7 linked regions of the Xenopus tropicalis genome follow. The protein of the gene in region 6 binds, or shares a complex with, the protein of the main gene of each other region. Links are inferred from orthologs where the notes say so. Each region holds a gene or a part of one and is shown on either strand. Other genes may lie near its edges. The genes, in order: dhx16, cwc22, rnf113a, snrpd1, bcas2, cwc15 and scnm1.

What was found.
Region 1: cwc15 (region 6) and dhx16 share a complex: the UniProt entries of both Homo sapiens proteins name them as parts of the minor spliceosome. The link is inferred for Xenopus tropicalis from reciprocal best matches to the Homo sapiens genes CWC15 and DHX16.
Region 2: cwc15 (region 6) and cwc22 share a complex: the UniProt entries of both Homo sapiens proteins name them as parts of the minor spliceosome. The link is inferred for Xenopus tropicalis from reciprocal best matches to the Homo sapiens genes CWC15 and CWC22.
Region 3: cwc15 (region 6) and rnf113a share a complex: the UniProt entries of both Homo sapiens proteins name them as parts of the minor spliceosome. The link is inferred for Xenopus tropicalis from reciprocal best matches to the Homo sapiens genes CWC15 and RNF113A.
Region 4: cwc15 (region 6) and snrpd1 share a complex: the UniProt entries of both Homo sapiens proteins name them as parts of the minor spliceosome. The link is inferred for Xenopus tropicalis from reciprocal best matches to the Homo sapiens genes CWC15 and SNRPD1.
Region 5: cwc15 (region 6) and bcas2 share a complex: the UniProt entries of both Homo sapiens proteins name them as parts of the PRP19-CDC5L splicing complex. The link is inferred for Xenopus tropicalis from reciprocal best matches to the Homo sapiens genes CWC15 and BCAS2.
Region 7: cwc15 (region 6) and scnm1 share a complex: the UniProt entries of both Homo sapiens proteins name them as parts of the minor spliceosome. The link is inferred for Xenopus tropicalis from reciprocal best matches to the Homo sapiens genes CWC15 and SCNM1.

The regions. Positions count from the first base shown.
Region 1 is NC_030684.2:75,485,639-75,489,410, reverse strand, and holds part of dhx16 (putative pre-mRNA-splicing factor ATP-dependent RNA helicase DHX16), read left to right. Parts: intron 1-1,250; coding exon 1,251-1,505; intron 1,506-1,767; coding exon 1,768-1,986; intron 1,987-2,457; coding exon 2,458-2,652; intron 2,653-2,811; coding exon 2,812-2,922; intron 2,923-3,660; coding exon 3,661-3,772. UniProt on the Homo sapiens protein: Required for pre-mRNA splicing as a component of the spliceosome. Contributes to pre-mRNA splicing after spliceosome formation and prior to the first transesterification reaction.
Region 2 is NC_030685.2:63,130,025-63,133,796, forward strand, and holds part of cwc22 (pre-mRNA-splicing factor CWC22 homolog), read left to right. Parts: intron 1-2,560; coding exon 2,561-2,688; intron 2,689-3,394; coding exon 3,395-3,496; intron 3,497-3,594; coding exon 3,595-3,770; intron 3,771-3,772. UniProt on the Homo sapiens protein: Required for pre-mRNA splicing as component of the spliceosome. As a component of the minor spliceosome, involved in the splicing of U12-type introns in pre-mRNAs. Promotes exon-junction complex (EJC) assembly.
Region 3 is NC_030677.2:156,458,016-156,462,560, forward strand, and holds the start of rnf113a (RING finger protein 113A), read left to right. Parts: upstream 1-1,680; 5' UTR 1,681-1,698; coding exon 1,699-1,789; intron 1,790-2,667; coding exon 2,668-2,741; intron 2,742-3,068; coding exon 3,069-3,176; intron 3,177-3,417; coding exon 3,418-3,525; intron 3,526-4,059; coding exon 4,060-4,169; intron 4,170-4,293; coding exon 4,294-4,400; intron 4,401-4,545. Other genes in the region: noc4l (nucleolar complex protein 4 homolog), read right to left, coding at 1,436-1,582. UniProt on the Homo sapiens protein: Required for pre-mRNA splicing as component of the spliceosome. As a component of the minor spliceosome, involved in the splicing of U12-type introns in pre-mRNAs. E3 ubiquitin-protein ligase that catalyzes the transfer of ubiquitin onto target proteins.
Region 4 is NC_030682.2:65,065,552-65,070,044, reverse strand, and holds the end of snrpd1 (small nuclear ribonucleoprotein Sm D1), read left to right. Parts: intron 1-1,084; coding exon 1,085-1,276; intron 1,277-3,233; coding exon 3,234-3,310; 3' UTR 3,311-3,929; downstream 3,930-4,493. UniProt on the Homo sapiens protein: Plays a role in pre-mRNA splicing as a core component of the spliceosomal U1, U2, U4 and U5 small nuclear ribonucleoproteins (snRNPs), the building blocks of the spliceosome.
Region 5 is NC_030682.2:7,012,448-7,016,518, forward strand, and holds the end of bcas2 (pre-mRNA-splicing factor SPF27), read left to right. Parts: intron 1-1,069; coding exon 1,070-1,162; intron 1,163-1,622; coding exon 1,623-1,693; intron 1,694-1,826; coding exon 1,827-1,988; intron 1,989-2,111; coding exon 2,112-2,162; intron 2,163-2,427; coding exon 2,428-2,508; intron 2,509-3,020; coding exon 3,021-3,141; 3' UTR 3,142-3,430; downstream 3,431-4,071. UniProt on the Homo sapiens protein: Required for pre-mRNA splicing as component of the activated spliceosome. Component of the PRP19-CDC5L complex that forms an integral part of the spliceosome and is required for activating pre-mRNA splicing.
Region 6 is NC_030678.2:164,535,041-164,539,437, reverse strand, and holds the start of cwc15 (protein CWC15 homolog), read left to right. Parts: upstream 1-1,536; 5' UTR 1,537-1,571; intron 1,572-3,038; 5' UTR 3,039-3,049; coding exon 3,050-3,180; intron 3,181-4,397. UniProt on the Homo sapiens protein: Involved in pre-mRNA splicing as component of the spliceosome. Component of the PRP19-CDC5L complex that forms an integral part of the spliceosome and is required for activating pre-mRNA splicing.
Region 7 is NC_030684.2:137,909,028-137,913,496, forward strand, and holds the start of scnm1 (sodium channel modifier 1), read left to right. Parts: upstream 1-1,413; 5' UTR 1,414-1,508; coding exon 1,509-1,559; intron 1,560-2,405; coding exon 2,406-2,476; intron 2,477-2,599; coding exon 2,600-2,688; intron 2,689-3,245; coding exon 3,246-3,343; intron 3,344-4,230; coding exon 4,231-4,328; intron 4,329-4,466; coding exon 4,467-4,469. Other genes in the region: lysmd1 (lysM and putative peptidoglycan-binding domain-containing protein 1), read right to left, coding at 828-998. UniProt on the Homo sapiens protein: As a component of the minor spliceosome, involved in the splicing of U12-type introns in pre-mRNAs. Plays a role in the regulation of primary cilia length and Hedgehog signaling.

The sequences.
Region 1 (3,772 bases), on a different chromosome or scaffold from region 6:
CTTGTTACAGAATTGGAATTACACAAAAATTCTACCATATTTTGAAAGCTTAGGTTGTTCTGAAAAAAACGATATATTGTTTTCCTTGGTAAACTAAAAGTCCCCCCGAGGAAAGGCCCCTAAAGGGAAACAGTGCAAAATGTTCAAAAACTGTCTGGCAATACAAGTTCCGCTTTGACCAAAATGGCTGGCAGTAAAAGGGTTAATGCAATAGCTACTGTTATTACAGGGTTCTTTAAAGGAATACTGTCATGGGAAAACATGTTTTTTTTCAAAATGCATCGGTTAATAGAGCTTATCCAGCAGAATCCTGCACTGAAATTAATTTTTTTATATTTAATTTTGAAATTTCACATCGGTCTAGCCATATTCTTCATTTCCCAGGGTGCCAGTCATGTGACTTGTGCTCTGATAAACTTTAGTCACACTTTACTGCTGAGCTGCAAGTTGGAGTGATACCACCCCTTTCCTTCAACCCCCCCCCCTCAAGCAACCGATCAGCAGAACCATGGGAAGGTAGATATGATAACAACACTCAATAATAAAAAATCCAAGTCCGGGTTATGACTTCTCCAGATCCATTAAGTAGGAGAAACAGTAGCGTGCCTGAAAGCAGTTCTAATGTGTAGCGCTTGCTCTTTCTGAAAGCTCAGACTTGGGTGCAGTGCACTGAGATGGCTGCCTACACATCAATATTACATTTTTTAAGAATAACATTTTAAATGGTAGAGTGAATTATTTGCCATGTAAACAGTGTAATTTAATAATAAAAATACACCATAAAAATCATGACAGTATCCCTTTAAGGAATTCTGTTACCATATGAAGGTAAAAGGCCACATAAAGAGTGCTGATAGATTGAGAGAGATAATATATGTGCATATGTTGTAGTTTGGGACACATTTGTTTTTCACATCTTTGTGTATTGCTGTATAGGGTTTTTTTGTCATGCGCATAAATGTAAAGGGGGTGTATATGTGTAGCATTAGCAATAGCTGGTGTAAATAAAAAAAAAAACTAAAAATCCAGTTAATGTTATTTAGACTATCATGAATTCTAGTGTGTATTTAAGTATAAATAATGAGTATGATGTGCTACCTACTCATTTTAGTGAGTAAAGAACATTTAGTTACACAGATATGTAGATATGTGTACATTATAATAAGATTAGCTTGCTTATTCCTTAACAGTTTAATGTATGACAGTGTGGAATATAATTTTCATCAATTGTGCATCCTGTAACTTGTTAGATTCCTGAGCTAAGGAAGAAGTCCCGTCGGGAATATCTAAATAAAAGAGAAAAAGAGAAGCTGGAGGATCTAGAGGCAGAGATCGCAGATGAGGAGTATCTTTTTGTGGAACCTGAGTTGACTTCAGTAGAGCAGAAGGAGCTTGAATATAAGCGAAGGGTGCGTGACCTTGCAAAGGAATACAAGAAAGCTGGGGACAAAGAGAGGATGGAAAAGCATGACCGCTATTTTATGCCAGAAGAAAACAGGAGTAAGGTATGAATAAACTCCGCATTGTTTCTTAATAGGTGGTTTTACCAATTTTGTAGGAGGTTTCCTTTTCATTTCGTTTTACGTAACTAGGGCAACTCTGTTCATTTTAAAACACTCCTCACTTGGAATGAATAGTAATTGGGTATATTAATACAATTCTCCTAAGAAGTATATAAGCATTTAGTAATTTTTGCCTAAAAGTATAATGCATACATTTGGGAATTATGTTTTATGGGTTGTGAATTTTACACTTATCTTATCACAGAAAATTCCTGATCGCTATGAGGAACCTATGTCTGAGGAAAGATTTGCCCCTCGTGAAGAGCAAAGGCGGTGGGAGGAGGAGCATATTGGGGCAGCCTCTCTGAGATTTGGAGCAAAGGATGCACATGATCATGGGAAGAAGGAGTATGATTTTGTCATGGAAGAAAATGAGGTCATACAGTTTGTCAGCTCGGCACAGATGAAGGGAACAATAGATAAGGTACGTAAAGCATTAAATACTTACTTAGGGCTTACTTAGTACAGCAGAACAGCAAATTGGTGGCTCAGTAATGTTGAAAATAATTGTACAAACTATAAATAAAACAAATAAATATTTTATAAATAATAATTGGACTGGGTTAAAAGTCTCAGTTTAATTTGTCGATTTAATTGATATACTGCTAAATAAATGGCTGGCTTGCTGATTTAAAATGGAAAAAGCAGAGGTACCTAAGTGCTCTATTAGGCAGCAGTCACATGCTTCTATTCTTTTTGGTATGGTTTAATTTTTGGAGAAATTTATCATTGTTTTGTGAACCAAATAAACGTTTTGTGTGTGATACTGCTCACCATTTGTATTACTTTTTGTAGAGGTACTAGTGGCTGTCCCATGGAGCATTTTTGTTTTTATGAGCACATTGGATGACATTGTAGGTGTCTCTGCTTATCGTAGCCTCTGTTTTCCGTATAGGAAGAGGAGAATTCTGAAGTCTTGTCAGAATCAGAACGAAAGAAACTGTCTATACAAGAGGTTCGGCGAAGCCTCCCTGTCTTCCCATATCGTTCTGATCTTCTTCAAGCAATCTCTGATCATCAGATTCTTATAATTGAAGGAGAGACTGGATCTGGCAAAACTACCCAAATACCACAGTACCTGCACGAACATGTAAGTTGTATCACCAGTTATTCTACATGGAAAAGCAAGGGATCCTAACCCATAATATTTACACTGTTGACACAGTAACTGACACTTTCATTGTATAAAAACATATTTTACTGCCCGTATTATTAAAAAAAACAAACTCTCTGCCTCTTTATTTTATAGGGTTATACTAAAAATGGCCTGAAGATTGGCTGCACTCAGCCTCGAAGAGTGGCTGCCATGAGTGTATCAGCACGAGTTTCTCAAGAGATGGGTGTTAAATTAGGCAACGAGGTAATTTTTTTTTTTTTATTTCCACACATTTTCTTCATTTTTGTATATTTTTCATATCTCTGTTTCATATGGTAACTACTTTGCCAAGTAAGCTTTCCTAAATCGTCACTGTGTTTGCATCCAACCAATTGTGAAAATCAAGGTGTGACATATTTTCATGGTCAATAGAGCACCTTTGTGAGACATCCTCAACCACACCTTAAAGGAACAATAACACTAAAAAAAGAAAGCGCTTTAAAGTAATAAAAATATAATGCACTGTTGCCCTGCACTGGTACAACTGGTGTGTTTGCTACAGTAACACTACTATAATTTATATAATAAGCTGCTGTGTAGCCACGGGGCAGCCATTCAAGCTGGAAAAAAGGAGAACAGGCACAGGTTACATAGCAGATAACAGAAAAGTTCTGTAGAATACAATAGTGTTTTATCTGTTATCTGCTATGTGCCTGTGCCTTTTCTCCTTTGAATGGCTGCCCCCATGGCTACATAGCAGCTTATTTATATAAATTATAGTAGACTTTCTGAAGTAAACACACAACTTTTACCAGTGCAGGGCAGCAGCACATTATATGTTAGTTACTTTTATACACTTTCATTTTCTGGTGTTACTGTTCCTTTAAATCATTTATGTTCCTTTATTGATATTTGAATTTTTAACACCATTCTAAAAAACAAAGACTACAGAGAGGAGTTTCTGTATGTAGCAAAAGCTTTACTCGCACTTTTTTGCTTTAGGTGGGATATAGTATTCGGTTTGAAGACTGCACATCTGAGCGCACAGTGCTGAAGTATATGACAGATGGGATGTTACTGCGGGAATTTCTCACTGAGCCTGATCTGGCATCTT
Region 2 (3,772 bases), on a different chromosome or scaffold from region 6:
GTACAGAAGCAGAAGAAAGCAACTTCAGTGTCAAAAGTTAACATGTAAAAATAAATATTTTAGAAAGTGAAGAAACTCTCACAGATCCCATGCCCCTACACCTAAGGATTAGGTGTTTGGAATGCACAAGGCAGCTAGGGTATGGTCTAGTTTTTCTTTTACATTAAAAGATTGTTCCTACAGCTGTCATGTGATGTGAACCCTATCCAGGATGAAACTATGTTTCATGAAGCTGAAGCTTAAAGTTATGGTCCTACAGCAGGTTGCACCTGCAGGCTACCCACAAAAAAACTGCTAAGCTGCGGGTTGTAGGAAGGATTTTCACATGCGGTTCATATCTATAGTATTTCTCTTATATTGTCTTGCTCATCTACAGTGGAGGAAATAATTATTTGACCCCTCACTGATTTTGTAAGTTTGTCCAATGACAAAGAAATGAAAAGTCTCAGAACAGTATCATTTCAATGGTAGGTTTATTTTAACAGTGGCAGATAGCACATCAAAAGGAAAATCGAAAAAATAACTTTAAATAAAAGATAGCAACTGATTTGCATTTCATTGAGAGAAATAAGTTTTTGAACCCCTACCAACCATTAAGAGTTCTGGCTCCCACAGAGTGGTTAGACACTTCTACTCAATTAGTCAACCTCATTAAGGACACCTGTCTTAACTAGTCACCTGTATAAAAGACACCTGTCCACAGAATCAATCAATCAAGCAGACTCCAAACTCTCCAACATGGGAAAGACCAAAGAGCTGTCCAAGGATGTCAGAGACAAAATTGTAGACCTGCACAAGGCTGGAATGGGCTACAAAACCATTAGCAAGAAGCTGGGAGAGAAGGTGACAACTGTTGGTGCGATTGTTCGAAAATGGAAGGAGCACAAAATGACCATCAATCGACCTCGCTCTGGGGCTCCACGCAAGATCTCACCTCGTGGGGTGTCAATGATTCTGAGAAAGGTGAAAAAGCATCCTAGAACTACACGGGAGGAGTTAGTTAATGACCTCAAATTAGCAGGGACCACAGTCACCAAGAAAACCATTGGAAACACATTACACCGCAATGGATTAAAATCCTGCAGGGCTCGCAAGGTCCCCCTGCTCAAGAAGGCACATGTGCAGGCCCGTCTGAAGTTTGCCAATGAACACCTGAATGATTCTGTGAGTGACTGGGAGAAGGTGCTGTGGTCTGATGAGACCAAAATAGAGCTCTTTGGCATTAACTCAACTCGCTGTGTTTGGAGGAAGAAAAATGCTGCCTATGACCCCCAAAACACCGTCCCCACCGTCAAGCATGGGGGTGGAAACATTTTGCTTTGGGGGTGTTTTTCTGCTAAGGGCACAGGACAACTTATTCGCATTAACGGGAAAATGGACGGAGCCATGTATCGTGAAATCCTGAACGACAACCTCCTTCCCTCTGCCAGGAAACTGAAAATGGGTCGTGGATGGGTGTTCCAGCACGACAATGACCCAAAACATACAGCAAAGGCAACAAAGGAGTGGCTCAAGAAGAAGCACATTAAGGTCATGGAGTGGCCTAGTCAGTCTCCGGACCTTAATCCAATAGAAAACCTATGGAGGGAGCTCAAGCTCAGAGTTGCACAGAGACAGCCTCGAAACTTTAGGGATTTAGAGATGATCTGCAAAGAGGAGTGGACCAACATTCCTCCTAAAATGTGCGCAAACTTGGTCATCAATTACAAGAAACGTTTGACCTCTGTGCTTGCAAACAAGGGTTTTTCCACTAAGTATTAAGTCTTTTTTTGTTAGAGGGTTCAAAAACTTATTTCACTCAATGAAATGCAAATCAGTTGCTATCTTTTATTTAAAGTTATTTTTTCGATTTTCCTTTTGATGTGCTATCTGCCACTGTTAAAATAAACCTACCATTGAAATGATACTGTTCTGAGACTTTTCATTTCTTTGTCATTGGACAAACTTACAAAATCAGTGAGGGGTCAAATAATTATTTCCTCCACTGTATATATTACTCCTTTAAGCATAGTTGCATAGGCTTGAAAAAAGACCAGTCCCTCAAGTTCAACCCTTCCAAGTAAACCCAGCACACACAAACCTATGCTTACCAATCTATACACTCGCATACATAAACTATATATACAAACATTAATACTAACTGTAGATTTTAGAATTTCAATAGCCTTGGATCCAGGCCCCTCTTATAGGCATTAACAGAATCTGCCATGATGTAACTTCCAGTTTGCAGCAACCACACTTCCTGTTTAATGGTGGTCAGTCGGTTGCAGTTTGGGCTGTGGATAAGGCATTTTCAGGTGGGGTTGGGCAGTGGGTCCAGGCAGTAGTTTTGGCAAACATTAGTAGAGCTGTTGCACTATTCTGGGGACAATCAACCAATCAGGCCCTTGACATTTGCAAAATTACTTAGGATGACATGTTTTTTCTTCATGCAAATATTTGTGGGAGGAGACATTAATACATTCTTTGTATTTTTAGACCATGCCCCTTAGCAGTGTACTAATGTGTTAGTCTTTTCTAATGTCTAATTAAGCTATTTTTCTATGCTTGTGCTTTACAGGTGTTGGAGTGTATAAATCTAAGTGAAGAAACAACCACCTCGTCCAGCAGAATATTTGTCAAAATATTTTTCCAGGAGCTGTGTGAATATATGGGGCTACCAAAGCTAAATGCTAGACTTAAGGACATGTAAGTGTTAGATAATGCAACTATTGCAAGTATATTGGATCTTTATTACACTAAGTGCCTTCTCTTGAAAGGGCTGCTATAGCTTTATATTTTTCTAACTCAATTGTGCTTATTACATGGGAATACATAGGTAAGTATAGATATGTTATCTTTCATTAGAGATTCAAGCATTATCCCTGCAATGGAAAGTGCCATATACGACCCTGTTGGCTGGTCATTCTCTCACTGGTGGCATGCCACATCCCCTGGCTCACAAGCCCATGCTCCATTCTGGCTCCTTGTAATGGCTTTATAAACACAATGGGAACCGTACAGAAGGAGAACAGTAATTTGTAGCTATCTCCCATTGAGACTGGGCTAAAACTGCAAGCTGAGTCAGTATTACCTTTACAGAAGCTTGGAATAATGCAAATGAAAATGTTCTTTCATCTTAAAATATTTCTTGTGGGGAAATGTGTATGGAAAATAACAAAATCAGGGTGATGATTTGACTCAGTTGCCTTGCAAGTAACTGCCTTCCAACTTCCACAGAGCTGTGCAAAACTAGAACTAATGCCAGCCATTAGACATTAAACCTGAAATCCAAGTATTTCTGGCTCAGTGTTGAGATAATTGCCATTGAAGCAGTTTATTTAAAGGAACTTGGATCATGTATTTACACATTGTGTATTCTAAGTATAAGTCTCTTTTTTTTCCCCTTTAACAGAACACTTCAGCCTTTCTTTCAAGGATTGCTACCTATGGACAACCCAAAGAACACCCGCTTTGCTATCAACTTTTTTACCTCCATTGGACTTGGCGGGTTAACGTAAGAGATTGATTTTCAGGCATAAACTAACATGTTTCTTTAGTTCATCCAACATTGTTAGACTAATGCCTTTGTATATTCTTTATTCAATTGCATAGGGATGAACTGCGTGAACACCTGAAGAATGCTCCTAAAATGATCATGACCCAGAAACAGAATGTTGAGTCGTCGGATTCTTCAGACTCCTCATCAGGGTCGGAGTCTTCTTCTGACTCGGACAGTAGCTCCAGTTCTTCTAGTGACAGCGAATCATCAAGCTCCAGCAGTGACTCAGGT
Region 3 (4,545 bases), on a different chromosome or scaffold from region 6:
AGTGAAGGGTCATTATATAATATACCTTGTGTAAAAAATGCTATAGTTAAATATGGTAATGTTTCATTATACATTAACATTAAAGTGATAGTGCAGCAATTAGCATAAATAATGCCACAATGTGCATAGATTTGTTTAGGTTTGTTAAAATAGCATAAAAGATAATAATTTATAAGATAATCAAAAACAAGTGCAAAGTGAATAAAGCATGGTTTTAACAATACAAACACATAGTTGTGCAAAACAGAACAACAAGGCTCAAGCTCCCTTTAGAAGACCCCTGTGTCCAGGAAGAGGCAGCAGCGGCACAGTGGACACAGAGATCATATGTGGGGGGGGGGGGGGGGGGGGGGGTTCAAATTGGAGAAGGAAAATTCTAGCTGGTGGAACAGTAATCCTGTAGAGGAGCATTGTCACATGAAGACGCTGGCAGAGTTCCGAGAAGGGAACCACTATCAAGTAAGAGATTTAACGACACATTAGCTTGCATGCAAGTATCTAGAGAATTTTTAAAGACCTCTAAGTTGCTCTCAGGAGTACATAGACTGTGATTACTATGGGGAGGAATATACAAGCTGTTACAGACCAAACAATAATCACAAGGGAACAGTTCCTGTGTGACTGATTCTATACCGTAATATAGGAGAACTGAAACTCGCAAACACATTTGTTGTTCTGTTTATGGAGGGGGTGAAAATGTGTGGTAATCGGAAAAGTGAGAGTCAGAAGGTTGCGGGGGATAAAGGGGAAAGTTAGGAAAAGTGTGAGATCAAAACAGAAGGTCCTGAATGAAAGGGCAGCGGAGGTAATAGGGAAAGCAAATGAGAAAAGACAAGAGGTTAGAAAGAATCTTTCATGGAATTGTCGTTGCTACTAGAATTTTCCTCTCCCATTACCCACAACTATGTATTCATGCCATTCTGTTTTCCCTGCACCACCCAGTGCTGATTCTGACTGCCAACAATTCGGCCTGATGTACCAGCAGTTCCACTCTTTTCAGACCTGAGCATTCAATCTTAGCTCTGCCCACCGCTGTCACGCCTTGCCCACCTGGCCCTGTCTGTAGGCTGCAGTCTTTTCTAAATAAATATTCAGACAGGATCTTTCTTGCTGATTAATAATAACATCAATTATACGTTGAGTAGGCTGGTAACCTTAGCAATCTGATATGTTACCCTCGCTAAAAGCTCTCTCTCTCTGCAAAAATGTAATTTTTCACATTTCCTTTTTTCCCTAATGGCCATCTCCCATCTGTCTTTTTCTATCACTGGTTGCCGAGCCCTGTTATAAGAACTTTAAAATACTTCCAGTCACACTGTTTAGACGTGCATACTGTCACACAAAATGTTGTGTTTCTGTTTCGTGCAAAAGATGTTCTTCTTTGTCAGGGCTGCTGTTATACTGTTTGCTAGCACACTGCAAAGCGGGCACTCACCTCCAGATGTTCCAGAATATCAAACACCGCGTTGGCATTGGTTCTACTTCCCAGTACTGCTGCGAGTTTGCTATCCAAATCGTGGCGCTCGGCATCACTTTGCTTGGCAAAGCTCGAACTCACACGTTTCGCTTTGCGCGCTGCCATCTTGCTACTGGAGCAACGCGACTTCCCCCCGGTAATGCGCCTGCGTGCGCTTTCTAAACAGGAAGTGGCCTCAGCCAATGCGCGCAATCTGGAGCTAGTCTGGCGTCACAGGAATAATGGCGGACTCTAACGCACCAGTTTGCAGTTTCGTGTTTAAAAAAAGTGCCCGAAAGTTCGCGGGACGGAAACGCAAAGAATCGGACAATGGTGAGACAAGGAGAAAGTGGGAGTGCAAATAAATGTTTATTATAATATAGTATTATAGGCATTACACGCTTACCGTGTATAAAATTCAGCAAAGTGTTGGGATGGAGTAAATGAGTTAAATGCAGAAGAGAGCGCAGATACAACTAATTGCGCAAGTGTTGTTGCTGTTAGCAACCAATAAGGTTTTTGCTTTTATTTTCAAACGTGTATATTGGCCAACTATTCGACTTTGTTCCTTACTCAAAACCACTATCTTAAAGGAGATGCAGGTGAGGGTGGCTGTATTGTTTGCTGGATATAATTACCATTAGAAATCAGTAGCATGTACCAGGGAATTAAGGTCCAAATGACAAAACAAAAATCAAACCCATCAAAGTATTTGCAAAACATTAACAACAACAAATATAATTATACATACAGCCTCATTTACTGTTCATTGGTACAGGTATGGGACCTGTTATCCAGAATGCTCAGGGCCTGGGGTTTTCCTGATAAGGGGTCTTTCTGTAATTTGGATCTCCATAACTTTAGTTTGTTAAAAATCATTTAAATATTGAATAGGATTGTTTTGTCTCCAATAAGGATTAATTATATCTTAGTTGGGAATCAAGTACAAGATACTGTTTTATTATTACAGAGAAAAAGGAAATCATTTCTAAAAATGTGAATTATTTGATTAAAATGGAGACTATAGGAGATCCGTAATTTGGAACTTTCTGGATACAGGTTTCCGGATAAGGGATCCCATACCTTTATGTCACTGGGCTCACATGCATTTGGTGTCTTAAATTTATCGAATTTCAGAATAGTACTTAGATGCATCTGTTGTATAAGTGTGTTGTACTATTCTGATCAGTCCTTTACTGATTTGTTTGCAGAGAGCAGCGAGGAAGAGAAAGGTCCAGTGATAAGGAGGATAAAGAAGGATGTGGTTAATCCCATGATTCAGAAGGTTAGAGTCACAGGTATTCACTATGTCACCCTGAGGCCCCAGGAGCATTAAGGAGCTTTATAAAATTTTCTGCCAGTTAATCTTTCAGAGTGGGCAGCAACACTTCTCCCAGATATTTCCTGTAGACCTCTCTGTTTAGAGATATAGATACCACATCATCTTCTCCTGGCAGCTAATGGCTGAATGGAAGCACAACACATGCCATAACCCTCTCCAGCCTGTCACCCTGTGTGCAGGACAGACGTTAACATGCCACAGAAGGGATGTGTGTAGTGTTTGTCCTCTTGAGCTTTCTGGTAGTTGTATTTACCTCTGTGTGTGATTTAGAGCAGGCAGCAACCAAAGGACTGTGAAGATTACAAAGCAAGCAGCAGTGAAGATGAGGACAAAACAGCGAAGTCTATCACTGTGTCTTATAAATCTACCCGATCTGCGGTAAGAGACTCTTTTGGAATTGGCTTATTCTTAGCACAGGCTTTATGTCATAAATGTTAAAATCTTTGAAACCCATCATCAGTTAGTTCTTTGTGATATTTTATTCAGTTTGTGAATCAGCCTATGCTGTCTGTCTTGTTTCAATATAAATGATGCATTGAAAAAAAATCTGTATTTATAGAATGACATGTCTAAGACACCCCCCATTTCTTACTATGTATGCATTCTTTGTTTCTTGCAGAAACCAGTAGGGCCAGATGACATGGGAGCCACAGCTACATATGAACTAGACACTGAAAAAGACAAGGATGCTCAGGCAATTTTTGAGAGGAGCCAGAAAGTACAGGAAGTGAGTATTTAGTATGTGATGCAGTGGATTATATATTCACCTTAAACTATGAGAGAACCACTAAAGCAGAGAACCCCAACCTTTCTTACTCATGAGCCACAATCAAATGTAAAAAGACTTGGAGAGCAACACAAGTGCCATAAAAGTTTGTGGAGGTGCCAAATAAGATAGGTAGCCTCTATGCACACCATCAGCTTACGAGGCTTTATTTGTTAGCAAATCTTGTTTTTATTCAACCTAAACTTGCCACCAAGTCAAGAATTCAAAAATGAGCACCTGCTTTGGGGGCAGTGAGAGCAACATCCAAGGGGTTGGTGAGCAACATGTTGCCCCCGAGCCAATGGTTGGGGATCACTAAGGAATGCAATAAGTGTTAGTAAAGCATGCAGTGTTCTGCATGACTTACATGCAGTTTCTTTAAAAATTCTGTGCTTTTTTTCTCTTCACTTTACTTTCTTTAATATTGTAATACTCTCCTTTTCATAGATGACACTCTGTTTAGTTCCCACTATTTATTTTGCTTTAATCTGACAGGAGTTGAAGGGGAAGGAAGATGACAAGATCTATCGAGGAATCCACAACTACCAGAAGTTTGTGAAACCCAAAGATACCTCTATGGGCAATGCATCCTCTGGCATGGTTAGGTACGTGTACCCCTCCCACTTTCCATTCTGTTTTAATTTAGAAACATTTCACTTTTCAATCAACTGGGTGATTAAATCCTAATAGTTTAGTCTGCATTGATAACTTTAACTTTTATCATTTTAGGAAAGGACCAATACGTGCCCCAGAGCACCTCAGAGCCACAGTACGTTGGGATTACCAGCCAGATATTTGCAAAGATTACAAGGAGACTGGGTTCTGTGGGTTTGGAGGTCAGTTGCTGGATTGTGTTGTACCCCTTTCCATTAAATGTCTGTTGTTCCTTTGGCCCTTTTTGCCCATATTTTATTCTCTCTTCCCTTACTATTATTTATTATGTAACACTGCAAGTTTTACTCACAGCTAGTTTCACTTATA
Region 4 (4,493 bases), on a different chromosome or scaffold from region 6:
CACCAGGAGGGAGCTCCCAGTGCGGCGGCCATGTTAATTAAGCATGCATGCGCATTATGCGGGAGACTCCCGCTCACTTATTATGTGCATGCATGTAATGTAGGAGCTGCGGATGCGACTTGCCCACCTACATCACACACATATGCATAAGCAGCGATTTGTGGCACTCACTTGTTATGCACATGTGAGTGCCACAACATGGCTGCCTGAACCAGGACCTTCCTCCCAGTGCTGGCAGCCTAGCACTGTAGGGGGCTATAAAAAAAAAAAAAAAAAAACAATTATTATATAAAGGCTCTGTTAGCCCACGCTAATAATTTTGTCTCAAAATATCAGTCATAAAACAAATTTAGATAAATGGTTTTACTACCCCCTTTTGTTTGCCCCTAAGTCACACACCTACCAATCCGATTTTGCTAGTACTTGGTATCATAAAATTAATCAAAAGGACAAACCTGTACATTTTCAGAGCCCCTGAGCTTTTAAAATTTGCCATCCATTTACCCCAAAATTACAATCCTTCCATCTTACCTTCAGTAATATGGAGTGGCCCAATCCGGTTAATCAAATAGGAGGAGTGTGGTTTTGGGTTAAATTGATTGAATCTCTACATGTATGACCCTAGATTAATATTGTTTTATTATAGTGTCCTCCCGAGTAGTTTAATTAGCTTGTGCCACACAATGGTATCATAGAATTATAGCAAAGGACAAAGCACCTTTGCTATTGTTGCTGAGCATTAGTCTGCCATCCATTTACCCCAACATCATATGCTTGACCCTCTGACCAATAAGATTGTGCAGTTCCATAGTATCTGAGAAGAAACTAAGCATTCATTTTTAAACCTTGAACATAACCCCATACAAAGTGCTGGCAAATACTTTAACAACAAAATGGGCAGAATTGACCCATATGCCAATCCCTTTAGTAAGGTAAAAGTAAATAATGCTCATTATTTAATCCCTGAATTTTAAAGATATTTTTTTTTTTTTAAGACTTTGTTTTATTCTGTCATATGAAGTTGTGTTGTAAACAATGATGACGCCTTGATTTTCATTTTTTTTTACTTTTTTGTTTCTTTTAGGAGTAGATGTGAGCATGAATACGCATTTGAAAGCCGTTAAAATGACAGTGAAGAATAGAGAGCCTGTTCAATTGGAAACATTAAGTATTCGAGGAAATAATATTCGTTACTTCATTCTACCAGACAGTTTGCCTCTTGACACGTTACTTGTTGATGTGGAGCCAAAAGTTAAGTCAAAGAAGAGGGAGGCTGGTAAGTATAGTTTTCATATTTTTTGTTCTATTGTGTATATAAAAAAAAAAAAAGTTGTTATTGGAACACCAAAACCGTTACTGGTGCCAAAACATAACATATTAATTTTGGTTAAAAGGACACACATCTATACAACGGGCAGTTAGGCAGGTTTAATTCGGAGCAAAAGGTTGAACTCTGTGGATATGAGTCACTTTTTCAACCTGAATTATTGTATTACTTTTGTTTAAATAAAACCTGTTAGGTTGCCAGTTTGTCCTGATCCTGTTTCAAAGATGCCCAGAATAGTTTTTTCATCTGAAAACACCAATACACTACTTACAGTGTACAATTCCCACCACCAAGTCAGTAATAAACAAATTAAATAAACGTGGACCCAAAACAGAACCCTGCAGCACCCTGTTAAGAACCCAAGTAGAGAATGCATTAAAAACTACACTTTCTAACGCAGTTGTGTAGCCAGTTTCCTATCCAAACAGACGGTTCCCAAAAGCACCAACTGTCAATCTGGGTCACTTTTTATAAATTAAAGGAGAAGGAAAGGTTAAGTCACTTACCTTTTACCCCGGGCTGGTGCCCCTGTTAGGAGAAAACCGCACCAAGCTGGGGTACCTGCAGCGAGCGCTTCCTTCTGTCGGCAAAATCCCTGGGCTGGCTTTTTTGTTTAAGTTTGGCTTTCCACTCTACTGCGCAAGCGCCAGAAGCAGGAAGGGGAGACGCTCGCAGGTACCCCAGGCTGGTGCGGTCTTCTCCTAACAGGGGCACCAGCCCAGGCTAAAAGGTAAGCAATTTAAAGTCACTTGGGGGTGCCTTACATTTTGGCATCCCCAGGTGACTCAGCCTTTCCTTCTCCTTTAAGCCATGTTGAGCTGCGTGTGATGACTGCAAATTGTATGTAATATTTATTCAGTAAGGTGATCATGTTAGATGGGATTACATAATAGAAACCTCTATCCTGCCAGAGGAACCCAGAATGGTGAACTATGTCAAAGGGCAGCTCAAATCTGTAAATATTAGCTGTACAGCCTGCAGTATGTTGGTATTTATTAATCGGGTTGCATGGGCTTTTTAGGTAAAACTGTAGAAACAATAGTAGGATTGCCTGTGTGGAGATGGCCTCTAAACATTAAAACAAACTTGTAATTCCGTTGATTAACAATGGCTAGAATGTGATTGTTAGTTGTGAAATGCAGTGCTAAGGGTACTGGCACACAGAAATTTGTTGCCTGTAGTAAATCTGCGTTACCACAGCAACAAATCCCCTGAAATTGCCTTCTCATTCATTTACTTTTGCATCATTGCAAGTAAAACACTCACAAGTGGTTTCCACATGTCGGCTGTTGGGGCATTTGTGTGTCAGGCTCCACTCATTCCCCTTCCTCTGTTCATTGCATAGGGGTGGGAGACAGGAACGAAGAGATTAGGCTGTCTTTAAAAGCCAGTCCAAAGTATCTTAAGGTGTTAAAGGCAGAGCATTTTATCAACTATTTTTACATTTTAAATAATGTTTTGAAGTAGTTAGCATTGCTTCATCCCATAATATATCATCCACTGCTTTTAATGCAGTAAGCATAAATATAGAAGTATTAATTTCCAACAGTAAGAGCTAGGAAGGTGTTTGATGTACTCCCTGAAGTGGTTAGATTGGTATATTCATTAGATACAATGGCATACAAAACTGCATTAGGCAGAAGTAGTGTTTCAGTGTGCAGGTAGTGTGTGTACATTATGGGATTTGCTATGAAGGTATATTTCCTTTATATCTACTTCATTATTTTATATGGTTGGAACTATTTTGCAAAACAATATAATGCCATAATATACATCCGAAATTCGAAGATCTGTTGGAAACTGTTACTTGATATTTCTGTTTTAGCAAATGTATGTATGTGTTTTGTTTTTTTTTTTTGTTTGTTTTTACTTTACTGATCCTCACCTGATTTCTGTTTCTAAACAGTTGCTGGCAGAGGAAGAGGGAGAGGCCGTGGTAGAGGCCGAGGGCGAGGAAGAGGTAGAGGAGGCCCAAGAAGATAATATATGTGAAAACTTCGCCATTAGAGGATGTTTTTGTACAGTTTTTTTTTTTCATACCTGAATGCACACAAATACTACTTCATGATATTACTTGTACACTGTACTAGTTAACTACTTATTGAGGCATATTTACTAATGCTGGGTGCTTTAGCTTGGTACAGTAACCATATAGAATACATTTTGATCTACTGGATGTAGAAAATACATTTTAATTGGTTACTGTTGGTTACTGCACTGGTGCTTAGTGTTAGTAAATGATTCCTGTTATGTACACTGCATCCCTGCCACACATTTGTATATGACCAGCATTAGTGTTATAGGAATCCTTGTGATGTTATATTCTTCACTGTTCCTTTACATTAGTAACAGTCCATTCAGTGCATTGGACAGGTGCCAGTAACAACTTTCTTCTTGCATTCCCTTCAATGCTTTGGTCAAATACAAATATTTTTCAGGTTGCTATTTAAATTCACAAATCGGTTAAAATCTGGGTTCTGCAACTAGGTAATTGATATTGAATATTGGCATTCAGTTCTTTTTGTAACAAAGTTGGTTGTGTCTTTGTTTTTAATGCATATAAGTTGCATTTGAAAGCCTAATAAAAAAAAAAGGTTTTTCATAGATGTTTGATTTTTTTTTTATCCCAAGATGTTAAAACATGTTGGAGCATGTTTTTTTTTGTTCTTTTTAATTGTATGTTAAAGAATACTTAGTGCTTGTTGGGCAGTTCTGTGTGTATTTAAGCTGGCAGACCCAAGCTTGAAGCCGTCCGTGCTGCTCTTATCCAAAAATATGTGGTAGAAAATGTTAATAACAACCTGTACTACATGGCCAGGTAGTTTCCATTAGGACAATTACACACAGTGTAATTTGTCTGGCTGCTGTCAGCAGCAACTAAAGCCTTATTACCAATCCTGATACTATTGTGCCAAGTTAAAGTCAGGAATGATGTAAAGCCACTGCCCCTACCACAAGAAGCTTTTTATTTTCTGTCCCATAGTTCAGGCAGTGCTCAGGTTTTCATCTTAGGTTACATGCCGAACATGGATTTAAGTGTTGTTTCCCCTTCTTGGTTGCCAGGAATGCAACTTCCTATCTAACAGATGCTTTTGATCAGAAATACGTGTATGTGGCCCCACATGTTTAAATTCCTTTCTCTCCTGGTAAGCCCTGCACTTATACC
Region 5 (4,071 bases), on a different chromosome or scaffold from region 6:
CTGTGCGGCCCCTGTGTGTCACATGACATCCATTGGGGGCATTTCTACTGTAAATAACCGGTCAGTGCTGCCCCTGTGTGTCACATGACTCCCATTGGGGGCATTTCTACTGTAAATACCCGGTCTGTGCTGCCCCTGTGTGTCACATGACTCCCATTGGGGGCATTTCTACTGTAAATAACCGGTCTGTGCTGCCCCTGTGTGTCACATGACTCCCATTGGGGGCATTTCTACTGTAAATACCCGGTCTGTGTTGCCCCTGTGTGTCACATGACTCCCATTGGGGGCATTTCTACTGTAAATACCCGGTCTGTGCTGCCCCTGTGTGTCACATGACTCCCATTGGGGGCATTTCTACTGTAAATAACCGGTCTGTGCTGCCCCTGTGTGTCACATGACTCCCATTGGGGGCATTTCTACTGTAAATACCCGGTCAGTGCTGCCCCTGTGTGTCACATGACTCCCATTGGGGGCATTTCTACTGTAAATACCCGGTCAATGCTGCCCCTGTGTGTCACATGACTCCCATTGGGGGCATTTCTACTGTAAATAACCGGTCTGTGTTGCCCCTGTGTGTCACATGACTCCCATTGGGGGCATTTCTACTGTAAATAACCGGTCAGTGCGGCCCCTGTGTGTCACATGACTCCCATTGGGGGCATTTCTACTGTAAATACCCGGTCAGTGCTGCCCCTGTGTGTCACATGACTCCCATTGGGGGCATTTCTACTGTAAATACCCGGTCTGTGCTGCCCCTGTGTGTCACATGACTCCCATTGGGGGCATTTCTACTGTAAATAACCGGTCAGTGCTGCCCCTGTGTGTCACATGACTCCCATTGGGGGCATTTCTACTGTAAATACCCGGTCAGTGCTGCCCCTGTGTGTCACATGACTCCCATTGGGGGCATTTCTACTGTAAATACCCGGTCTGTGTTGCCCCTGTGTGTCACATGACTCCCATTGGGGGCATTTCTACTGTAAATACCCGGTCTGTGCTGCCCCTGTGTGTCACATGACTCCCATTGGGGGCATTTCTACTGTAAATAACCGGTCTGTGTTGCTCTCAGGCTGCAGCTTTGGTGGAAGAGGAGACCAGAAGATATCGGCCTACAAAGAACTACCTGAGTTACTTGCCCACCCCCGACTATTCCGCATTTGAGGTAATGGCTTTCTCCCTATTCTGCAGCACCCTACACTGGGTGCCCCTCTGCTCTATTCACGGTGGTTGCACATTGGCCAACCAAATGGCTTCCCTGCTAGAGAACTCACCCTGGCAACTAAGAACCTATTGCTCTGTGAGGCTTCAATTTTATTGTTACTGTTACTTTTTATCCAGCCCCTCCCCTATACTCATTCACACCACTGTCTGGTTGCTAGGGTAAATTTGACCCTAGCAACTTGATATCTCTGCAAAATATTAATACTTCATTATTCATTCTGCTACTACTCGTCCTTATGTCTGTCAGTTCTCCAAAGATTGCTTTCATAGTCCCATAACCCCGAGGGGTTTGCATGCACAGAGCCCACCCTGGCACCTACTGGTGCTAATATCACGTGGGTGGGGGGCATGTTCCCTTCACAGAGGAGACCAAGATTCCAACTTTCATTCATTTTATTTAGACTGAAATCATGAGGAACGAGTTTGAAAGACTTTCGTCGCGCCAGCCCCTCGAACTGCTCAGCATGAAGAGGTGAGTGCCGTCTGGTTACTATGGGTTACTGGACCAAGATCTGTGCATTGCTTTACAGCCCTGTGGTTTCCATGTGGTCTCATTGTGCTGAAGGGTATCCGTGGAAATACCATACCCCTCTCTCTGATTCTAGGTATGAGTTACCGGCCCCCCTATCCGGCCAGAGGAACGACATCACCGCGTGGCAGGAATGTGTCAATAACTCCATGGCCCAATTGGAACACCAGGCCGTCCGTATAGAGAACCTGGAGCTCATGTCCCAGCACGGCTGTAACGCCTGGAAAGTCTATAACGAGTGAGTTGGGAACATGGCGTTGGGGGGGGGGGGGGGGGGGGGTGTTGATTTACAGCACAGGATATAGCATGACCCAATGATACTGCCGCCCTTCAGTCACGTGATTCTTCTGTCTCCTCCCAGGAACCTGCTGCATATGATCGACTGCGCGCAGAAAGATCTCCAGAAGTTACGGTGAGACGGCATTAAGCCCATACTAACCATATATATATATATATATATATATATATATATATATAATCCTTCCCTGGCCGTGGGGAAGAGAGCAGCCCAGAAGCAGGAAGTGCAGAGATTTAGAGCTCAGTTCCTGTGTAATTACTGGGATGAGCTTCGAGTTACCTACGTGGGGTAGTTCCTAGCCCTGGGGTATTACTAGCAGTTGCACACTTCCATTTTAACAGCTCTAACGCTTTCACTATTTGTCTTGTTACCGGAACAGGAAAAAGATTCAGGACTTGAACTGGCAGAGAAAGAACTCCCAGCTGACAGCAGGTGCCCGACTCAGAGAGATGGAGTCAACGTAAGTGAGATTTGTGCATTTTGTTCACACCTAGGGTGAACTTATCAAGGGAATACCTACTCCCCTATACTGTATTTCCATGAATGAAGTACACACAGGCTTTGAGTGTGCCTAGCGGGCTGTTCCTGCTGAACAGGGGAATCCCTATGCTGCCATAGTTTTATGGTATCTCTCTGTACAGGCTATGAGCAAACTTAGGGGGCTGTTCCTGCTGAATTGTGCTTAGTACAGGGGAATCCCTATGTGCCATAGTTTTATGGTATCTCTCTGTACAGGCTATTAGCAAACTTAGGGGGCTGTTCCTGCTGAATTGTGCTTAGTACAGGGGAATCCCTATGTGCCATAGTTTTATGGTATCTCTCTGTACAGGCTATGAGCAAACTTAGGGGGCTGTTCCTGCTGAATTGTGCTTAGTACAGTGTATGGTATTTATGGGATGCTAATATTTTAGCTTTAATAGAACTGGTAGTCATTTTCGTCTGTCTCTAACTTGCTTTCTGTGCCGGTTGCAGGTGGGTGTCTCTTGTGAGCAAAAACTACGAGATTGAGAGAGCAATTGTGCAAATGGAGAATGAAGTCTATCAGCTGAAAGAGAGGAGCGGGGAGAATAAGGAAAATATTGAAGATTATTAAGGCCCTGCCCCAAGGATTACAGGTTCCAGGGTAACAGCACCGGTCCTGCTGCAGAGACTCTGGCGCCATGTTGGGCAGCGCTGCTGGGGGTTCTGGTTGCTTTATGGCTCTTCACTCTGGAAATGTAGCGAGTAGTCTCTGCCTGGGTGCTGATAGGCGCAGGGATGGGTCTCCCTGTTTCACCCAAATGCCCCAGTGCTGCCTCGTAGGCCGGGCACATACCGGCTTTTATAAGGAAATTCTGACTTGTTTTTCACTGTAATATTAATAATAAAGTGTTTTCCAGAAATCTTCCACTTTTATCATCCTGTGCGCTCCTGGGGGTCTGTACTGAGCACCCCACACAACCGTAACCCTGGCCTGGGTGGGGGCACACCATTATATATTAGATAGCACCCCCGTCTCTGCACAAGTGCCTGATCTCACCAGAGGGAAATAGGTATGTTCTGAGCTGGGACGGATTTCCCACATGGGCAGCTTCGACAGATAACGGGTCATGTGTGTAACAGTGAGAGGAAATCAGCGTAAAAACCAATGAACTGTCTTCTATAGGCCATAGAGATACAGTGGGAAAGCCTGGCATTGCCCTTCCTCCTGGGTCTCATCTGTTTTTACAATGTTAATATCATGAAGGTGTAACAGGAGCGCCCCCTGCTGTTCTGTGCAGGCGGAGACACAAGCAGCACTGAGCCCAGAGACACTTCCAGCATCAGCAAATGAAACTTTTCCCCTATCTGTCTGGCTCTGACTTGGTGTGAATACTGCAAATAGCATGGAAACTAAAGAAGTAGGGCAGAAATGCTGTACATTATGTTTTGGGCTTCTGTACCAGCCACACAGCCCTTCAGCAGGGAAGATCTGTGCCAGTAAAGATGCCCCAGTAGCCCCCATCTTCTCTTCTGCCAATTCACTGCACATACTCTGTGCTGC
Region 6 (4,397 bases):
CTGCAACTCTGGGACCCTGCTGCCCCTTGGGTGAGTGCTTACCCGGTTGCTGGTGATCCGCCTGGGGAGGAACTGACCGGGAGACTTGCTGATTAACCAAACAAACTTCTTTATTCCAAACAGCATTCAGTGGTAATAAATGCAGACTCCGGTATCTCTCCCTTATATCCAAACCTGGAGTTTCTCTTGCTCCAGATAATCTCCCGTTTGGGAATATACTGTGACCTGAGCCAGCCACTGAATTTCCCTGAGCTACGGCCAGTAATGCCGGGAGGTGATAACCTCACTGATCTCCTCGGAGGGGCCTCAAACTGCCCAACTAAATACACTATCTATCTAGTATAAATAAATTTAAAGCAACTGGACTTGTTTGGTAACAAACAAGTCCAGTTGCTTTAGGGCTCTGGCACATGGGGCGATTAGTCGCCCGCGACAAATCTCCCTGTTCGTGGGTGACTAATCTCCCCGAGTTGCCATCAGTTGCCATCCCACCGGCGAACATGTAAGTCGCCGGTGGGATGGCACACGCGGCGCGATTTCGGCAAGTCGCCGAAAATGCCTCGCGAGGCAACTGCGCAGCGTGTACCATCCTTACATGCTCGCCGGTGGGATGGTAGTTCAGGGAGATTAGTTGCCCGTGACAAGGGAGATTTGTTGCGGGTGACTAATCTCCCCTTGTGCCAGAGCCCTTACATTTATTTATACTAGATATACCATGACCTGGATGAATGAAAATCTTCATAGACATACACTATCTATCCTTTCACTCCTAGAGTGACAATAAAATGTCTAACTGGCTCCTGTAGCTAACCTCTTAGAGAGGTGAAGTCCCAGGAAGAAGACCTCATGGTTTGTGAGTCCATTCCCTTTTATATTGCAGAACACCACCACCTAGTGGTCACTGCTGAACTGCAGAGGAAACTCTCTTTTAATCTGGAAAGAATAATTATAATAATATAATAATTAAAGATGAATTAAAAAGTTAAAAAAAAAATTGTAGATGTTTATGTAAAGTTGGGGGGAACACAGGTCAAAAAATTTCATAACGGTAATGATGCTTCATTGTTATTTGTATATGACAATAAACTAGAAACTATAGCACACACACAATTAGGACCACCCTTAGGTCCATATCCCACAAGGCCACCCACTGGTATGCCTGTCTAAAGGGGAACCCAGGCACAGGGGCCCAAATCTTGGGGTCCCTACATAAAAATTATTAAAAAGAATTAATGAATAACAAAAAAGGGCAACTAATTTAGTAAAGAGAAATCTCAGTTATGAAAAATGACTGCTCGGAAATGTTCTTATGTAAACCAACACAGAGAAGTCAGAAGCCCTGCACAGTGTTATATAATATTCTCCCTTTACCGCACATACACCCCCTGATTCATTACATAGCCACAACAAACATGGCCGCCGACGGCTTCCAATCAGCTGGAACGCCCTCTTGCTTACGTGACGCGTACTCCGAGCGCCGGAAGTTTCCCGGTGGAAAGAACTAGCGCGACGGGTAATTGTGACGCCAGTCGCCGTGGGATTTGGTGCTGGGGCTGAGGCGCTGTTACGGGGTGAGCGAAATCGCACCTTTGGGAAGAGGGGAATTCAGGCTGAACGGCAGCGATTATTTTAGTCATAGGGGATTGAGGCCCTCTAGGAGCAATATATCGCCCCCCACTATCCCTGTTGGCTGGGGAAGCTTACAGCTCGGCTTTATCTACTTAGCAATACTGTACCCTCCTGCCCAGTCTGTGAGTCCCCTGCTAATGTAAGGGAACTCGGCTGGTTAAGCCTATGGCCAGCAATATCAACTTGAGGGACAATTGAAAGTACAGGCATGGGATCCCTTATCTGGAAACCTGTTATCCAGAACGTTCCAAGTTACAGAAAGGCCATCTCCCATAGACTCCATTTTAATCAAATAATTCAAATTTTTAAAAATGATTCCCTTTTCTCTGTAATAATAAAACAGTACCTGTACTTGATCCCAACTAAGATATAATTACCCCTTATTGGAGCAGAACAGCCCTATTGGGTTTATTTAATGGTTAAATGATTCCCTTTTCTCTGTAATAATAAAACAGTACCTGTACTTGATCCCAACTAAGATATAATTACCCCTTATTGGGGCAGAACAGCCCTATTGGGTTTATTTAATGGTTAAATGATTCCCTTTTCTCTGTAATAATAAAACAGTACCTGTACTTGATCCCAACTAAGATATAATTACCCCTTATTGGGGGCAGAACAGCCCTATTGGGTTTATTTAATGGTTAAATGATTCCCTTTTCTCTGTAATAATAAAACAGTACCTGTACTTGATCCCAACTAAGATATAATTACCCCTTATTGGGGGCAGAACAGCCCTATTGGGTTTATTTAATGGTTAAATGATTCCCTTTTCTATGTAATAATAAAACAGTACCTGTACTTGATCCCAACTAAGATATAATTACCCCTTATTGGGGGCAGAACAGCCCTATTGGGTTTATTTAATGGTTAAATGGTTCCCTTTTCTCTGTAATAATAAAACAGTACCTGTACTTGATCCCAACTAAGATATAATTACCCCTTATTGGGGGCAGAACAGCCCTATTGGGTTTATTTAATGGTTAAATGATTCCCTTTTCTCTGTAATAATAAAACAGTACCTGTACTTGATCCCAACTAAGATATAATTACCCCTTATTGGGGGCAGAACAGTCCTGTTGGGTTTATTTCATGGTTAAATGATTCCCTTTTCTCTGTAATAATAAAACAGTACCTGTACTTGATCCCAACTAAGATATAATTACCCCTTACTGGGGCAGAATAAGCCTATTGGGTTTATTCAATATTTGAATGATTTTTACCAGACATAAGGTAGGAGATCCCTTATCTGGTCACGAGCATTCTGGATAACAGGTCCCATACCTGTAGTATCATTCTGCCTTTCCTGTGCTCTGCGCTGCTGCTTCTGACTCCTGAAGCTGTGTAGAAAAAGTCAGCTTATGAAAGTAGGAATTTTAAAACAGTTCTTGTATTTGTGTGTGAAACAGTTGTGTAAAAGATGACAACCGCGGCCAGGCCAACGTTTGAACCAGCAAGAGGCGGCAGAGGTAAAGGGGAAGCCGATCTCAGTCAGCTCTCAAAGCAGTATTCCAGCAGAGACCTCCCCTCTCACACTAAGATCAAATACAGGTATGTGAGTGGCTAAGGCATGTAAGATATTTGTTCTGTAGTCCTTAACATGGCACAGTGAATTATGTTGGTCATTAAAGGGGAAGTATATCCCCCTTTTCAAGATTATTTCACTTGTGCTTGTGTTGAACATTCTTTTTGTTATTATTTACAAACCATTATGAGACACCTCTGTATATGGGTGAAGACACACGGAGCTACTAGTAGCAGCTACTTGTCACGGCTACTAAAATAGACAGTGCTGATCATTTACTGATAATTGTCTCTAAATTGTGTGTTTTAGCAGAGGCAATTCTCAGTATTGTCTGTGGCAGGGGATTTTCTGGCGTTTAGTAGCCGTGACAAATAGCTGCTACTAAGTACCATGTGTCTTCATCCTAATACCTGTTCCTTATCACAGAGCCTAATGACTAAAGGCTGCCCCTGGGGGAAGGGAGGGGTTTGTTTATACAGTGGACTTTTCGTATGTATATATTTATTAAGCGGTACTTATGTACGCAGCGCTGTACAGTAGAATACATTAATACAAACAGGAGGTTATTAAAATAATAGATAAATACAAAGTATAACAATAAATACAGATAAATACAAGATACAGTTGCAATAAGTTAAGAGTCAAAGACACAAGAGGATGGAGGTCCCTGCCCCGTAGAGCATACAGTCTAGATGGGAGGGTAACTTACAGACACAAATAGGCAAATATAAGTGCTGTAGGTCACAGTGGGTGACATTACAATATAAGTGCCAGTTCCCAGATCAGGTGCTGGGTGAGTGCTCCAAAAGTTAGTCTTTAAGTTTAGTTTTAAGAACACTGGGGAGGATTTTCTTCGGAGGAAATCTGGGAGGGCATTCCAAATATAAGGGGCAGCAAGTTGGGAAACTGCAGTAGTAGTGGGGGGGGGGCGTAACCAAGCAGTTACTCTGCGAGGAACAGAGGAGTCGACCAGAAATGTACGGCGACACAAGGGAAGAGATGTAGTGAGGAGCAGAGGAATGGAGGGCTTTGAAGGTTAGGAGAAGGAGTTTGTAAGATATTCTTTGTTTAATAGGAAGCCATGATAAGGACTTTAGCAGGGGAAGGGCCTGAACTCTCCTGGATGAGAGGAGGAGAATTTTGGCAGCAGTGTTTAATATAGACTGTAGTGGGGAAAGATGGGAGTTAGGGAGGGCAGTTAGCAGCAGGTTACAGTAGTCAAGTAGTCGGGATAGGATGAGAG
Region 7 (4,469 bases), on a different chromosome or scaffold from region 6:
AATGACTCTACCCATGTACCCGGCAGAGCTTCCCTCTTTGAAGACAGATTGTAGGGAAGAGAGGTGGGAGTCTGGGAGGCTGGTTAGTAGGAGATTGCAGTAATCTAAGCGAGAAAGGATAAGGGCATGGATTAGTGTTTTAGCTGTTACTTGTGAAAGAAAGGGGCGTATCTTGGCAATATTGCAGAGGAAAAATGGCAGATAACCCCAAGGCAGCGTGCAGAATTAACAGGGTTAACGGTCATGCCATCAATAGTCATGGTGAAAGGAGGAGAAGTGATATTTAAGACCAAAAGAAGAAATAAGGTCTCCTAAAGAGAGAGTGTACAGGGAGAACAGCAAAGGGCCAAGCAAAGGGCCCCACACTGAGCTGAACCCCCACACTGAGCTGAGCCCCCACACTAAGCAGAACCGGGGTAGGGGATTGGTTAGTAAGAGCGACAGAGAAGGAGCGGTTAGAGAGATAGGAAGAGAACCAGGATGCAGCCTGATCCCGGATACCCAGAGAATGGAGACTTTGTATAAGGACTGAATGTGCCCTGACAGTGTCGTGCACCAAATTCACCATATTTTCATTTCCCTTCATGTTTATCAGGCCCACCGGCTGTATCTGAACCCAATGCCTTCCTGATAACATCCTGGGGGGTTGGTTCTAGGGTGGGGCAGGTAAGGCATGTCCCCTGGGGGGGGGAGTAGAGAACTGTACAAAGGGCATATGAGACTAACAGCTGTTAGATATTACCAGTTATACACAAGGGGTCTCCAGCTGTTGCTAAACTGCAACTCCCAGCACCCTACACCCTATAATAGGAAGGTACCGTACTCACCGTGACGCCGTATCTGAGTGCCAAGCCCTGCAGTGTGTCCCCGGGCTGGACCTGGTGCTCCAGTTTGCGGATCCGGGCCGGTGAATAGGGCGACTGGACTAGGCTGCCATAGGAACGGGTCCTGGTTCCATGGAGAAGCCCAGAGTCTCTGTGCCCAGAGTTGGATGCCATGGCTTGTGAGCTCTAAAGGGCAAGTTAACTATACATTGTCTGACTGGGCAGAGGTGGAGGCAGAAGTGGAGGCAGAGATGGAGTCCCTGCAGCCCTCAGTCACATGCTGGGCTACTAATTCAATCAGACTGAAAGAAAAAGGGAGAATTCATTAGTATCACATGACAGCACTGACAGGGGTTTGCCCAAGGGGGTTGGGCTGGGCTAAAAGCTGCCCCAATACCCCCAGCACAGACCCACAGCCCTTCCAGCTGCCCAGCACAGGCAAGTACCCAATAATACACAGCTCACTGCTGGGCAGGGGTGACAGGAGCAAGGCATGCCGGGAGCAGTAGTGCAGCACAGGCTCTGCCCCAGGATTCGCGGCTCTCACGGAACTACAAGTCCCATAATGCCCGGACTCCGCCTCCTCCTCTCCGGAAATAAACTACATTTCCCGTAAGGCCGCAGAAAGGAGTACGGTGGCCGCGCAGGGTTACAGCTCTCAAAGGGGGCGCTACAGGCTGGGCTATGTCGTTTAAACGGGATGGGGATGATCTGAGCCAGCTGAACGTTCTAAAGGTACGGGGTGATACCCATACAGGGGAGGGGAGGGTGTCTGGGGGGGGAAGGGTAGGGTATGGTGTCTAGAGGTGGGGGGAAGGGTGGGGTAGGGAAAGGTAGGGTGCCTGGGGGTGGGGGGAAGGGTAGGGTGTCTGTGGGTGGGTGGGGTAGGGTGCCTGTGGGTGGGGGTAAGGAAGAGTAGGGTGCCTGGGGGTGGGGGTAAGGAAGAGTAGGGTGCCTGGGGGTGGGGGTAGGGAAGGGTAGGGCGCGTGGGGGTAGGGAAGGGTAGGGTGCCTGTGGGTGGGGGTAAGGAAGAGTAGGGTGCCTGGGGGTGGGGGTAAGGAAGGGTAGGGTGCCTGGGGGTGGGGGTAGGGAAGGGTAGGGCGCGTGGGGGTAGGGAAGGGTAGGGCGCGTGGGGGTAGGGAAGGGTAGGGCGCGTGGGGGTAAGGAAGAGTAGGGTGCCTGTGGGTGGGGGTAAGGAAGAGTAGGGTGCCTGTGGGTGGGGGTAAGGAAGAGTAGGGTGCCTGGGGGTGGGGGTAGGGAAGGGTAGGGTGCCTGGGGGTGGGGGTAGGGAAGGGTAGGGTGCCTGGGGGTGGGGGTAGGGAAGGGTAGGGCGCGTGGGGGTAGGGAAGGGTAGGGTGCGTGTGGGTGGGGGTAAGGAAGAGTAGGGTGCCTGTGGGTGGGGGTAAGGAAGAGTAGGGTGCCTGTGGGTGGGGGTAAGGAAGAGTAGGGTGCCTGTGGGTGGGGAAGGGTAAGGTGTCTGTGGTTTTGGTTTGGGGTGTGGGTAGGGTGCCTGTGGCAGAGTAGGGTGCAGTTGTAAGGGGGAAGGGTTAATTTAATATCCCATTTCCTGTCTCCCTACAGAAGAGGCGAGTGGCGGATCTGCTGGCCAGTTACATCCCGGAGGATGAGGCTTTGCTTCTTAAAAATGGCAGGTAAGGGTCTCTCCACTGATTGGTTCCCTCGGTGTGGGCCCCTGGGAGGGCTTGCTTCTATATACCCTTATATTCCGGGGCCCCTGCCTATCCCTCTGTGTAACTGTGTTGTGTATATAACAGCTACGCTTGCACCGTGTGCCATCACCGGCCCGTCTTCAGTACCATCGATATGTTGTCTGTGCACAGAAGCGGGAAGAAGCACTTAGCCGGTAAGTTACTGACTAGAAAAGAGATCCATTTCCTGTCTTATGACTTCATTTCCTCTCCAGATTTCTGACATAACGTCCTGTCTGGCATTTGCGGATCCGAAGACTTGCCTAGGGATGTTCCCCTGTTGATTTATTAATTATTTATTTTTGTATTTATAACTTCCTGTCTGACTTTGTGACTTAACTTCCTGTTATGACTTCATTTCCTGTATGCCATTTTAATGTGGAGCCTGTAGCTACTGGTCTCTGCCCCAATACCAGGTTTTATTCTGTCTCCTCCCCCATTATCTTTCTATACAGGCCCTCTTCTGTTCATATACCAGTTTCTCATTCATTCTGCTGCCTGGTTGCTAAGGTAGTTTGAACCCTAGCAACCACATAGCTGCGGAAAACTGCAAATAATAAAAAATGAAGACCAATTGCAGATTGTCTTAGAATATTCTCTATATCATACTAAAAGTTAACTCAAAGGTGAACATCCCCTTTAATGACTGGTCACATGTCTATAATACATATTTGTGCAATGGGCCGCTGACTCCCTCTCAACTCTCCTACAGGTCAGCAGCGGTATTACGGCAAGAAGCTGGAGCATAACAATGAGATCCAGAAGAGGCGCCATTTTGATTTTGTACAGGCAGAAGATGCAGGAGAACAGGTGGGCAGATTTCTCTTTCTCCAGGCTATTGGCTATTAGGGGGCTGTTCCTGCTGAATTGTGCTTAGTACAGGGGAATCCCTATGTGCCATAGTTTTATGGTATCTCTCTGTACAGGCTATGAGCAAACTTAGGGGGTTGTTCCTGCTGAATTGCGCTTAGTACAGGGGAATCCCTATGTGCCATAGTTTTATGGTATCTCTCTGTACAGGCTATGAGCAAACTTAGGGGGCTGTTCCTGCTGAATTGTGCTTAGTACAGGGGAATCCCTATGTGCCATAGTTTTATGGTATCTCTCTGTACAGGCTATGAGCAAACTTAGGGGGCTGTTCCTGCTGAATTGTGCTTAGTACAGGGGAATCCCTATGTGCCATAGTTTTATGGTATCTCTCTGTACAGGCTATGAGCAAACTTAATGGGCTGTTCCTGCTGAATTGTGCTTAGTACAGGGGAATCCCTATGTGCCATAGTTTTATGGTATCTCTCTGTACAGGCTATGAGCAAACTTAGGGGGCTGTTCCTGCTGAATTGTGCTTAGTACAGGGGAATCCCTATGCTGCCATAGTTTTATGGTATCTCTCTGTACAGGCTATGAGCAAACTTAGGGGGCTGTTCCTGCTGAATTGTGCTTAGTACAGGAGAATCCCTATGTGCCATAGTTTTATGGTATCTCTCTGTACAGGCTATGAGCAAACTTAGGGGGCTGTTCCTGCTGAATTGTGCTTAGTACAGGGGAATCCCTATGTGCCATAGTTTTATGGTATCTCTCTGTACAGGCTATGAGCAAACTTAGGGGGCTGTTCCTGCTGAATTGTGCTTAGTACAGGGGAATCCCTATGCTGCCATAGTTTTGAGTAACTTTTTTTTATTTGCTCTCATATCTGCCAGCGTCCACCAGGTCCCGCCCCTTTGCTGGTCCAGACAAGGAAGATTACCCAGCATGCTCTGCTGAAATCTGCCCCGTACAACAGCTGCTGCTCTCACAAGTAAATCAGTTGGGGCTGAGCATTATGTGAATGATTGATATAATAATGACCCATTGCTAATGGCCCCCGGATTTCTCTGTTCTTATGGCCAAACCATATTATCGACAATTATATTTCTCTGCTGTTTCTCATTTGCAGATC